Caenorhabditis elegans: one gene and its partners. The protein of the gene in region 2 interacts with the protein of the main gene of each other region in a pairwise test. Each region holds a gene or a part of one and is shown on either strand. Other genes may lie near its edges.

The links.
Region 1: the proteins of mafr-1 (region 2) and rps-5 interact in a two-hybrid assay, tested with the Caenorhabditis elegans proteins (one large-scale study listed by BioGRID).
Region 3: the proteins of mafr-1 (region 2) and rde-1 interact in a two-hybrid assay, tested with the Caenorhabditis elegans proteins (one large-scale study listed by BioGRID).

The regions. Positions count from the first base shown.
Region 1 is NC_003282.8:11,109,602-11,112,801, forward strand, and holds rps-5 (Small ribosomal subunit protein uS7), read right to left. Parts: upstream 1,445-3,200; 5' UTR 1,444-1,444; coding exon 1,378-1,443; intron 1,281-1,377; coding exon 1,011-1,280; intron 960-1,010; coding exon 831-959; intron 783-830; coding exon 615-782; 3' UTR 501-614; downstream 1-500. Other genes in the region: pigk-1 (Putative GPI-anchor transamidase), read right to left, coding at 1-93, 139-256, 301-400. UniProt on the Caenorhabditis elegans protein: Component of the small ribosomal subunit. The ribosome is a large ribonucleoprotein complex responsible for the synthesis of proteins in the cell. Part of the small subunit (SSU) processome, first precursor of the small eukaryotic ribosomal subunit.
Region 2 is NC_003279.8:10,621,243-10,625,000, reverse strand, and holds mafr-1 (Repressor of RNA polymerase III transcription MAF1), read right to left. Parts: upstream 1,829-3,758; 5' UTR 1,824-1,828; coding exon 1,741-1,823; intron 1,691-1,740; coding exon 1,351-1,690; intron 1,302-1,350; coding exon 1,180-1,301; intron 1,129-1,179; coding exon 936-1,128; 3' UTR 640-935; downstream 1-639. Other genes in the region: arch-1 (Protein archease-like), read right to left, coding at 1-62, 354-530; Laminin subunit alpha lam-3, read right to left, coding at 3,688-3,758.
Region 3 is NC_003283.11:9,989,405-9,993,162, forward strand, and holds the start of rde-1 (Piwi domain-containing protein), read right to left. Parts: upstream 2,239-3,758; 5' UTR 2,211-2,238; coding exon 2,154-2,210; intron 2,099-2,153; coding exon 1,899-2,098; intron 1,857-1,898; coding exon 1,544-1,856; intron 1,500-1,543; coding exon 1,444-1,499; intron 1,390-1,443; coding exon 1,211-1,389; intron 1,164-1,210; coding exon 947-1,163; intron 901-946; coding exon 289-900; intron 249-288; coding exon 134-248; intron 90-133; coding exon 1-89. Other genes in the region: trpp-6 (Trafficking protein particle complex subunit 6B), read left to right, coding at 2,503-2,598, 2,655-2,726, 2,771-2,872, 2,922-2,999, 3,048-3,188, 3,234-3,302.

The DNA of each region.
Region 1 (3,200 bases), on a different chromosome or scaffold from region 2:
AGATTTGTTCCCGCTCTGGCGGCGTAAACCGTTCCAGGCCGCGGATTTCTTGAATTACATGGTACGTCTTCTGCCAGCATCATTATAATATTACTTAAATTAAATTACATTTACTTTAGTTTTCCGATATATTCTAACCTGTCAGGAATACCTAATCGTTTGATTGAGTGATAAAGAGCCAAAACGTTGGAGACATGACGATAGTTGAACCAAAATTTCGATGTGCATACGAGAACGGCCCAGTTATTTGTGTGACCTGTAACCTTTTCACTCAAACCGGAACTTCTTTCGAACCGAAACCTGGGGTGTCGAATAATTCATCAATTTTCAGCTGTAGACCTGTGTTAAGAAGAGCTTCGGTTGCAATTATTGCACAGAAAATCAATAGTACATGACGCATACCCGAAAAATATCCTGAAACGCAAGGGGGGAAATTGTGCACTATTGTGTATTGCGGTGGAGCGCATGTTCTACGCGTACAGAATAGTAATGTGGAACATCTGAGAATGACAGGATTATAATGCGAAAAAATTGATGAACAGAAAACAAATAGTATGAACAAACAATACTTTATCAGTTGCCGGACAACCGGATAAAGAAAAACAACAAGTTGCTTATCGGTTGGACTTGGCGACACGCTCGAGCTCATCCTTCTTCTTGATAGCGTAGCTGTTGGAGGATCCCTTGGCGGCGTTGATGAGCTCATCAGCCAAGCATTCGGCGATGGTCTTAACGTTTCTGAAGGCAGCCTCACGAGCTCCAGTGCAGAGAAGCCAGATAGCCTAAAAAGAACTAAATGATTAAACGAATCACCAGGAAAATTAATATACCTGGTTGACTCTTCTGAGTGGGGCAACGTCAACAGCTTGTCTGCGGACAGTTCCGGCACGTCCAATACGGGTGGAGTCTTCACGTGGTCCCGAGTTGATAACGGCGTTGACCAAAACTTGGACTGGGTTCTGAATAGAAACGTGGTAAAATAAAATTTCTACATTTAATCAATGATATACCTCTCCGGTGAGCAAGTAGATGATCTCAAAGGCGTGCTTGACGATTCTGACGGTCATAAGCTTCTTTCCGTTGTTGCGTCCGTGCATCATCAAGGAGTTGGCGAGACGTTCGACGATTGGGCAAGCGGCCTTGCGGAAACGGCGGACTTGGAAGCGTCCAGCCGAATGTGGAAGGTACTTGGCGGACTTCTCCTTAACTGGAATGTAGTCGACAAGGGAGATGTCGGATACATTCACGCTCTGGAGCGACCATTTTCCGAAGAGAGCAACCTGTAAAAATTAATTTAATTTTTTGTTTTACTCTTTTTGGAAATATTTTTATCAATATTTTTTAAATGCAATTTTTAACCAAATACGAAATACAAACCTCTGGAGCTTCGGTAGCCGGAGCGGCGTCGGCGACGACGTTTTCAGATCCCCAGTTATCGGCCATCCTGCAAAATAACAACTTCAGTATAGTTTAAAAAATGATTTAAAAAAATAACAAGAAATATATAAATATTGAGTAACGTTACTATAACCAACAAGAAAATCAAGAAATATTAAAATTTTAATAACGATGATGGAAAATCGTCCTAAATTATTTTCCAAGTTTTGGACACGTTCTCGTTATGAATATGACAAAAAATCAATGATAACAAATCAAATTTAATTTTTTGTTCGCGTAAATATACAAATTTTAGGCCAAATTCGTAAAAAAAACGCAAAAAAATTGATTTTACAAAAAGAAAGTGGGAATTGGGCCTCAATTCTGAGAGTGCTGGTAACTTTCGCGGCGAGATATCTCGTCTTGTAAATTCGGTGTGCCTTTAACCCCGTTTGTCTGCGTCTCTCGTTTCCAACGTTGTCGCGGGAAGTTCCAATTCAATCGCCGTTTCAAAACGAGTTTTATTCGAGCAATTTTAGCATAAAATTGGAAAATTAAAGTTTAACAGTCGATAAATGAATCCCAAACATTTTCACGATATATTTTTTCAGGATTTTGCATTTTACAGGAAGAAAAAGCGGAAACCAAAAACAATTGTTGTAAACCAATAAATTGTGATCTGAACGAAATAATGTTTTTATGCCAAATTTAGCTGAATTCAAAATGCAAATCAAATTTTAAAATAATTCTACATCCGAAAGGTTTTAGACAATGCATTTGAGACCGAAAGATGTCTACCAAGTAATGTGTCTGCTGAAAGTTCGAGATATTGCACGGACTTTGGAAAATGGAAACCAAAAAAGTAAACAGTATTCTAAGATAGTACTTAATCTGAATTGGAAATAATATCTAATTGATATACGTATCTTCTTCAAGCGCAAACCTCTGATTTTATTATAAAATTTTCTTGATAACTTTAAATAGTCTTTTATAAAGTTACGAGTTTTCTTCTATCCACAAATCAATAAATCACAATATTTTGTCGTTTTCCTCTCACTTCACCGACATGATTCGTGTGGCTTTTCTAATTTCTTTTCTTCGTTTTCATCCATTTGCCACGTCAGTTGTCGTGCGTGTGCTCGTCACACTTGTGCTCTGAAGAGAGCATCACAATTTATCCCATGCCCGTGACACTCTAAAATACACAGAGAGTCGGTCCAAAAATGTTTAGTTTTCGATTTCCAATTATTACTTTCTGGCTCATCTTCTTCTTCGTTTTCTTTTTCTGTCCACGAAGAATCTGAACTTTTATGTTTCTCGTAGAACTTACTTTTTGGAAATTTTTGAATCTCAACTATATAGTACTTGATTGATATACTTGTATTGGTAATTGTAATCATAAACATATTGAAGTTAATAATAAATTGCCTGCAATGTACCTACACGTGTGCCTATGTACCACAGTTCATCTGAACCTCAGTATTCACATTTTTTTTGTATTTATTACTTCATGAAACTTTTAAAAGGTTTTTGAAAAGACAAAATAAAAATAGCTAAAAATCGAATTTCATGCCAAAACACGGAATGTAACCGGTGGGCAGGCAGGCAGGCAGATACGAAGGCGTGGCGTGCCTGCATACAATTTTTGTAAAATTTGGAACCTTTCAAAACTACAAACTCCATAGGATAACTATATAAACCTCATCCCATTTCGTGGTACTGTAATTTGAAGATTTCCCAACCCTTTCTTGATGCATGATTTAAAAAAAATATATTTTTACCAAAAGATTGACACATTTGAAAACTCCAAGTAAATTTAAGAC
Region 2 (3,758 bases):
AGAAACTGAAATAGGAGACCATCTAAGCTATCGCCAGAAGCTTTCCAGTAGAATTCGTACATCTGAAATAATGCAAAATTAAAATTTTATTTTAATCAGTTTCTTGTAGAAATTGTGGGTTTTGTTCGAAAATGAAGTCAAGAAGGCAAAAATTGAGCTTTTTTCTGGGAGCAGCTTCAAAACTAGAGAATACACGAACAAAAGCTAAAATTTCTACAAGATATCGATTTAAATTGCAATTTCATATGTTCATAAGCATATTTCAAGTGAAGTAAGAAAAATTAGACAAAACAGAGGAAAGTGGAAAAATTCTTAAAAGGCGCAAGAGGCGATCTAATTCAATTTCAAATTACCTCATCAACCTTGGCCAAATCCGTCATATAGCCGAACATTGATACGAGGCATGCTTCGAAGGCTTCTTCCATTGTGGATCCCCAAGAGTGAAGTTGAATATCTGCCGGATGATCGAGATATTCGAATCGCCGACGTTCGATCTCAGAACGATCTTCGATCATTGATGTGCTCGGCATTATTTCACTGAAAATAAATTAAACTGAACTTAACCAAATAAATTTGAGGAAAAATTGATTAAAATATCAGAACGGTTGAAACCAAAAAATAATCGATTTTGATTAACTTAAAAAAAACAATTTTATGTATTTATGATGCGGTTTTTGTGAAAATTGATATCTACGAGCCACGAAAAGGAATGAGAATCGAAGTATTTGTTCCTTTAATCTAGCGGTAGGTGTGTGGGAAGTGGCAAATTAAATGCGAACTCGAGAGGTGAAGGAGGAGGTTGAGGATTGATGAGAAATGGAATCTATTTACAAGAGAAGAACTACAAGAGGGAAAGAGGCTTGGCCGGCAAGACTAATACTATATCGCCTTGAATATTAGTCTATTCTAAGCGTTCTACATGAATAATCTGCACTCTATTTCTCTTGTGGTTCCGCCTCGTCTTCACTGAAATCGGGGAAAATTTCGATGGACGTGTCGGCTTGTTTCGATAGGCAACGAATTGTGAGAAGAACAAAACGTTTGAGTCCTTTGTTGTAGAAAATGAAGGCAAGTGCCCAAATGCAACCGTCTTCGGTAAACGGATCGTCTTCGAATTGGGACTTGAAGCTGAAAAATATGGAAATTATATAAAATATCCTCTCAAATCAAACGGAATACCTGTATATTTGACAGTCACCGGGCACAATTGCCTCATCAATAATTCCCCATAGCTCTTCTCTTCTCACGTGATAGTCTCTGACAATTGTCTCAAGCTTCATATCAACGAGACGGCTCAGGTCCTGAAAAATCATGCGCGTTAATGTTATTTAGCTGTAAGAAGCTACTAACCGAATAATTGACGAGAGCAAACGCTTCACTGTTGGCATTACTGAAATCGTGATCCGGAAACGAACAGTTCAGAACTTGAGTCAGATCATACAATTTCTTTCGCGAAATTGAGTCTTTTATCAGGTAGTCATTCACGTCGAAATCGTTGTCTGATCCTCCTGAGCACGAGCGTTCCGATAAATGGCGAAGCCGATGATTGTGACCAACACTGGGCGATGCACTCATCACCATTTCCTCGTAAGATCCTAGAGGCTGGCGTTCACCCCATATCACAGATTTATCGTTCGATTTCCATTGTTTCTTTTCGCTAGTAACCATTTTCGACGAATACGTTTCTAATCTGAAATTGAACGATTTGTTTTATTCTTAATATTGAGATAAATGACTCACTTGAAATCAATAACACAATCGATTGCTCCCGTAACGAGTGTCTGCGAAAAAACATCCATTTCGGAGCTTTCCAGAAACTTCATGGCTTCTAAAGCTTTTCAATAAATTTCGAGAACATTTGGAGAATTCAAGTGCGGAAAAATCCTACGTAATGAAGATTGCAATATTTAAAATCGCGCATTTTGAAAACAATAATTTAATTTTTAAATTTTACACTAAAATAACAATTTTAATTACTTTTTCAGAACGATTTATCGTGAAGAAAGGAAAAACTGCTGTAAAAAAATCCCATTGATTTAGCAAACTGTCGGCAACTTCTGTGTAATGTGTGCAATATTGTTGTTGGTGTTTGCGTACTTGTCTACCGTATACCTTGGGGGTAAAATGAAATTTGTTAAATTTCGCTTCGAAAGTCGTTTTGCAATTAAAAACTATAGTCAAAACTAGATTTTCAAATAATTGATGTCACAGGGGTCTAGAGAACGAAATAACACGACCATTTATGACAGAATCAGGAATATTTAGATTAAAAAATTAACAAGTTTCAAATCAAATTTTCAAAAGGCAATGAGATTCACAAGTTTTATATTCAATACAAGAATTTAGTGGAATTAATTAGTCCATTTTGGTTCATAAGGTGTTACTGAAATTGATGATATTTGCTATAACTTAATGGGAAACATGAGAAAAAACCTGTTTGAAAATTAGTTTTGCACCCTCTATTAGTTTTGCATCAAATTAGGTGTCCGAAAATTAGTTTTGCACGTCTTACTAATAGAGGATATACGGTATACGGAAAACAATTTAAAAAAATATTTTTATTTGAACGACCACGTACATCTTGATAAGGACTGGTATATGAGCAAGTAGTTTTAGTCATAGTGTTCAGTCTTCAACTTTTCAACAAATGGTCTGCCAAGAAGGATGGGAAGATGATGCCAATTCAACAATTCCGATGCTGTGAACGAAGATATGAGTATGCAAGGAACCTCCGAGTGGACCTCGGACGATGGAGCCGATTTACCTACAGTCGTGTGTGAATTGGAAACCAGTTCACTTCAACCAAACGGAATATTAAAGTGAGTGCGGGTCAGAGGTGTAAATCTGATGTTTTAAAATGTTATAAAACATAAAGTTTACAGCTTTTTGAGTATTGAGAGTATGAACCTTTTTTTTCAGATACTCATACTGGCATATGTCACAAAAACCCCCCGGACAAACTACTCAAGACGAAACGTTCAAAGGATAAATAGAGGAGACAGAGGAAAAAGAAGACAACTCCAAAGTGGGAGCTATTTTGTAAGTTTGTTGTTAAACTCATAAGCTTGTAGATGGCTTGCCTCAATACATTTACAAATAATGTCATATTGGTGTTTATTTCAGGAAGTACAACTGAATCGATTGGAAATTAACGTCAGGATGTGGATTGGAACAAGTAGCTGGAAGTGACTGGAAACCCTACTGTGTCGACGGCGGAGGAGACATGGTGCATGGATGGACAACTGAAACAATTTGACAGCCAGGCTACGTGAAGCTCAATGCTCCGCTCTGATCGACAGTATCTGCCTCCTACCTGCGTTGTTTAAGTAAAGCTGCAGAGATTGAATTAAAGTAATCCATCTGAAAAGAGCATCTCTATTTCTCAATCATTTCGTGTTTTTGAATTTGAAACTGTGCTGTTAGATTTTGAGAGCTTGAAATGGACGTAGTATTGTTTCATGTAGAGAGAAAAGAATTTCGAAAATTGATACAGTGAGCGACGTTCAAAATCGTGGGACACATTTTTTTTCAGCAAAAGCTGGTTCCAAAAAATGTGCAAACTCACTTTTTTTTAAATTTAAAATAGTTTATTCGAAGAAAAAAATTAAATTAAAATTGGCAATCAACAAGGGGCTTTTTTGAGAATCATATTCAAATTCAGGAAGAAAATGTTACAAATATAGAAATTTAATTTTTCGAATTACGCTTTCTTTTTGATGATCTCTTAAGTTTGCATGCTTTGGCGCATGGCATTACAT
Region 3 (3,758 bases), on a different chromosome or scaffold from region 2:
TCGGGAAGACGTTCAAACATATTCTTCGCTTCTGTTGCGGCTATTTCAAATCTACCGATTCCGGTATTTAGTGTACAATTTTTGTAGAACTGTAAATATGATATTTAAAAACTTTCAATTTTCTGAAACTTACGGCATATTCATTTTTCGTCGCGTCGTACATAATAGATTGCGCTCCTCTGTTTTCATTGGCACCAATTCGTATTCCACGGAACTTGCAACCACCAATTAGTTCGGTGTAGAACTTACTGAAAATATTTCGGAATAATCTACGTAGAAAACACTTACACAACGTCGTTCTCTTCTAAGCATGGATTTCCCGCTGTTTCGTTGACTACAAAAACAGCACAGCAAAGTTCTTTTTCGGGAACCACATTCAATTGTTTTTCTTGAAATCCACGAATCACTGGTGTCATTTTAATTTGTTCATTTACACTATTCACAAGCATTGGCTCTTTCAAAACCTTTCCTGGACATTCGATCATCTGAAGTTTGGAGCATAATCCAAATCTTTCAACAAAATTTAGCTCTTCAGAAGAGAAATCCAATTCTTTCAGCATTTTTAGGGTATTTTCTTTGTAGTCGTGAGGTTTTCGTGTAGCTCGCTTTAGAAACTTGTCTTGCATCACCAGATCAATTCGATTCTTGTATCTTTGTGGCTTCTCATGAACTTCAAGATGTTCCATTGGTACAGCGTATTCTTTTGCTCCACTTTTAACTTTGACTAGTGGTAGGTGGGGAAACTCAATGAACTTTTTGTTTTCCTCATAGATTTTGAACAATGTAGTATCGTACTTTTTTGCATTTCTTCCTCTGTCCGATTTACCAGTGACTTTATAAACAAGAGAGTTTTCCTCGCACAAATCTAGAAATGTCAGATGTCGTTCTGTCAATCTCGACCTGAAAATCAATTTGTATATTAATTGTTTGAATAATTTAAACTAACATTTCGTTATCCCAAACTTCTGCGCATTTCAGCTTCAAATTTTCCAATAATTGTCGAATTCTTGGCCGCGCGGCTTGTCTGATTGTCATTTTTCCCGCCATCAGTTTTGTTTTAAGATCTTTTCGTACATCATCGTTACACGACTGGGGGTCGACAATTAGGAGAAGATAATCCAGAAGAGACATTTTCGGTGCATTGTAGAATAGTTTATCGACAACTTCAACAAAAATCACATGATTTTTTATCGCAGTTTCTCAAACTTACTTGCAAAATTGAGCACAGGTTCACCATCGAACAATTCTTTGATTCCAATGTAAATTCCAAACCATGCTTCGATTCTTGGTGCTACTTCTAATGATTGTTCGAATCTGTTTGGATCGTGAAACGATTCAGGAACTCGCAGAATTGAATTATTATCGTACACAAAATTTTTCGCGAATTGTCTTAAAATATATAAATGAGTTGAGGTGATTATTATTATTATTATTGCAACTCACACTTTAATCTCCTCGTTCACAAAAGGCGCGTAGCGAACTTTCTGGGTCATAACATTCTGAAAGCTAATTTTGTTTGTTATAATGCGTGTTTTTCATAAACCTTCAGGAATTTGTAACTCCGATTCGCTTCTTCGTCTTTTTCCGGATTTTCTCGACTAAAGTTCAGGTGAAATTTTTTACGATAGGTAAGTATCATTGTGTATAAGATTTTTTTCTCCAAATCCTTTTCATCTTTTTTCTCCGAATCCTTTTTTACTACTTTCTCCGAAACCAGCATTTTTGATGTGACAGTGTTCAGTCGACAAACACTATAAACAGTGTCCTTTTCATCAAAAACATAGTCTTCGAGAATAAAATCTGTCTGCTTCTTCTCATGCCGAAGATGTTGCCAGAAGAGTTTTGCACGATCGGGACTGAAAAATAAAATTAGTTTTGACTAATTTACAAGCACTTACATTGGAATTTCTGTCTTTTTTGGGAAAGGTTTTCCTGGTTTTCTATTCAATACTTCCTTTGTCATTTTCACTTCATACTCGTAGTATTCCCGATCGTAAATTTTGCTGGAGAACTTGAACCAATTTACCAAAAGAAGTACTTTCTTCTCATAGAATTTGCCGTCGCATTTACCAGTGGGCCTCGCAAGCCATTTCATCTCCTATAATATTAATATCAAACTTATATATCTTATAGCTGCTAATAATTGATCATACCGGATCGAGAGAATGACGATAAAATCCTTTTTCCAATTCGGGAAAATTCGAGGACATGTTTCATCACTTTGTGGCTGTTGATTATCTAGAAATTACCAATAAACAACGTTTATGATTAAAAAAGAAGTATATTTGATAATTGAAGATAGAAAAAGTTAAGTTTTAATCTCTAATTAAGTTGAACAGTGTTACAAGGCATTTTTAAGCGAGAAAAAATGTTTTTTGAAAATATTTTTAGCATGAGGAATGTCGTCATTTGCGCTGTTTCCTCCGCAATACTTCGTCCCCGTGTTTGCAGAACCACTCTTTCCAATTTATTTATTTTTTATTTCCCTTCAAGAAATTTTTTATGGCGTTTCCTTTTGATATTTTACATTTGGAAATTATCCGTTCAACTTTGGAAAGTGAAAAAGATCGATGTGAAGCAAAGGAAAAGTTTGGAACAGTGAGTTTTTCTTGATTTCTGAGTTTCAATTTATTTTATTGGAAATCACTTTTCAGATTATCGATAACTTGAATGGTCCAGCTGATATTGAAAAGTACGAAAGCTTAGTTCAAAAAGCTTTTCTTCACGTAAGTTAAATGTTAGAATACGTCTTCCAATGTGTGTTCTTCAGGCAAATGCAGAGACTAAACTTGAGTCGATCGGATTCAGAGTTGGAAGGCAGCTCGTGGAAAAAGTATCAAAAGAGTCTCCGAAATTGGTCACTGAGTTAGAAGTAAGAATTTTGTGACAAGTTTTATCCGGTTGTAATTTAAAAAAATCAGATTGTAAAGTTCATTTGCAAGGATTTCTGGTCATCAGTGTTTGGCAAGCAAGTCGATAATCTCCGCACAAATCATCAGGTATATTATTTTTCAAACGATTTTATTTCCAAAACTTATATCTTTCAGGGTGTCTATGTTGTTCAAGATGGAAGATTTACAACGCTGCGAAGTTTTCCCGAAGGTGATCAATACGTGAAAGAAAGTGGATATTTCCTTGCTTTTCCATGTGGTTTACTTCGCGGAGCCCTTGCTGGTCTTAATATTAGAGTGAGTTCTTTCTTTTTTTGCGTAATCTACGTTTGTTCGTTTCAGGCAATTGTAACTCCAACAATCGAAAGTGTACCTTCTGTGAAGTTTCATATTCAAGTTCAACCAAAATAGTATTTTTCACATGTCAATTAATTTATGGATTTTTGTATATAGTTTATTTAATTTTTGAGAATAAATAAAGAACACCGGTAACCTTGATGACATCGAAGTAATAGAAATAGAAGAAAACATTATAATTGAAAAAGTTCATATATTCCCACCGAAGACTATATTTTGGTTACAGGAAACCAAAAACCTAGTTTTGCATTTTTGGAAATTTGGTGGAGCAAGTTCGGCTCCAATAAAGGCTGCAGCCGGTCCCATTCCAATGCTAAATACAAAAGTGAATAAAAAGAATAATTTTATAACGAAAACAAGTAGTTACACAGTCGCGATTCTTTGCGTCAAAAACACAAGCGGGCGTGCTCCTTCAAAGGTTACTGTAAGTTAAAACTCGTGGAATTTTCATCGACTTTTCATAGTTCTTCTCACGATTTGTTATTATCAAAATATAAAAACTGTCACCTC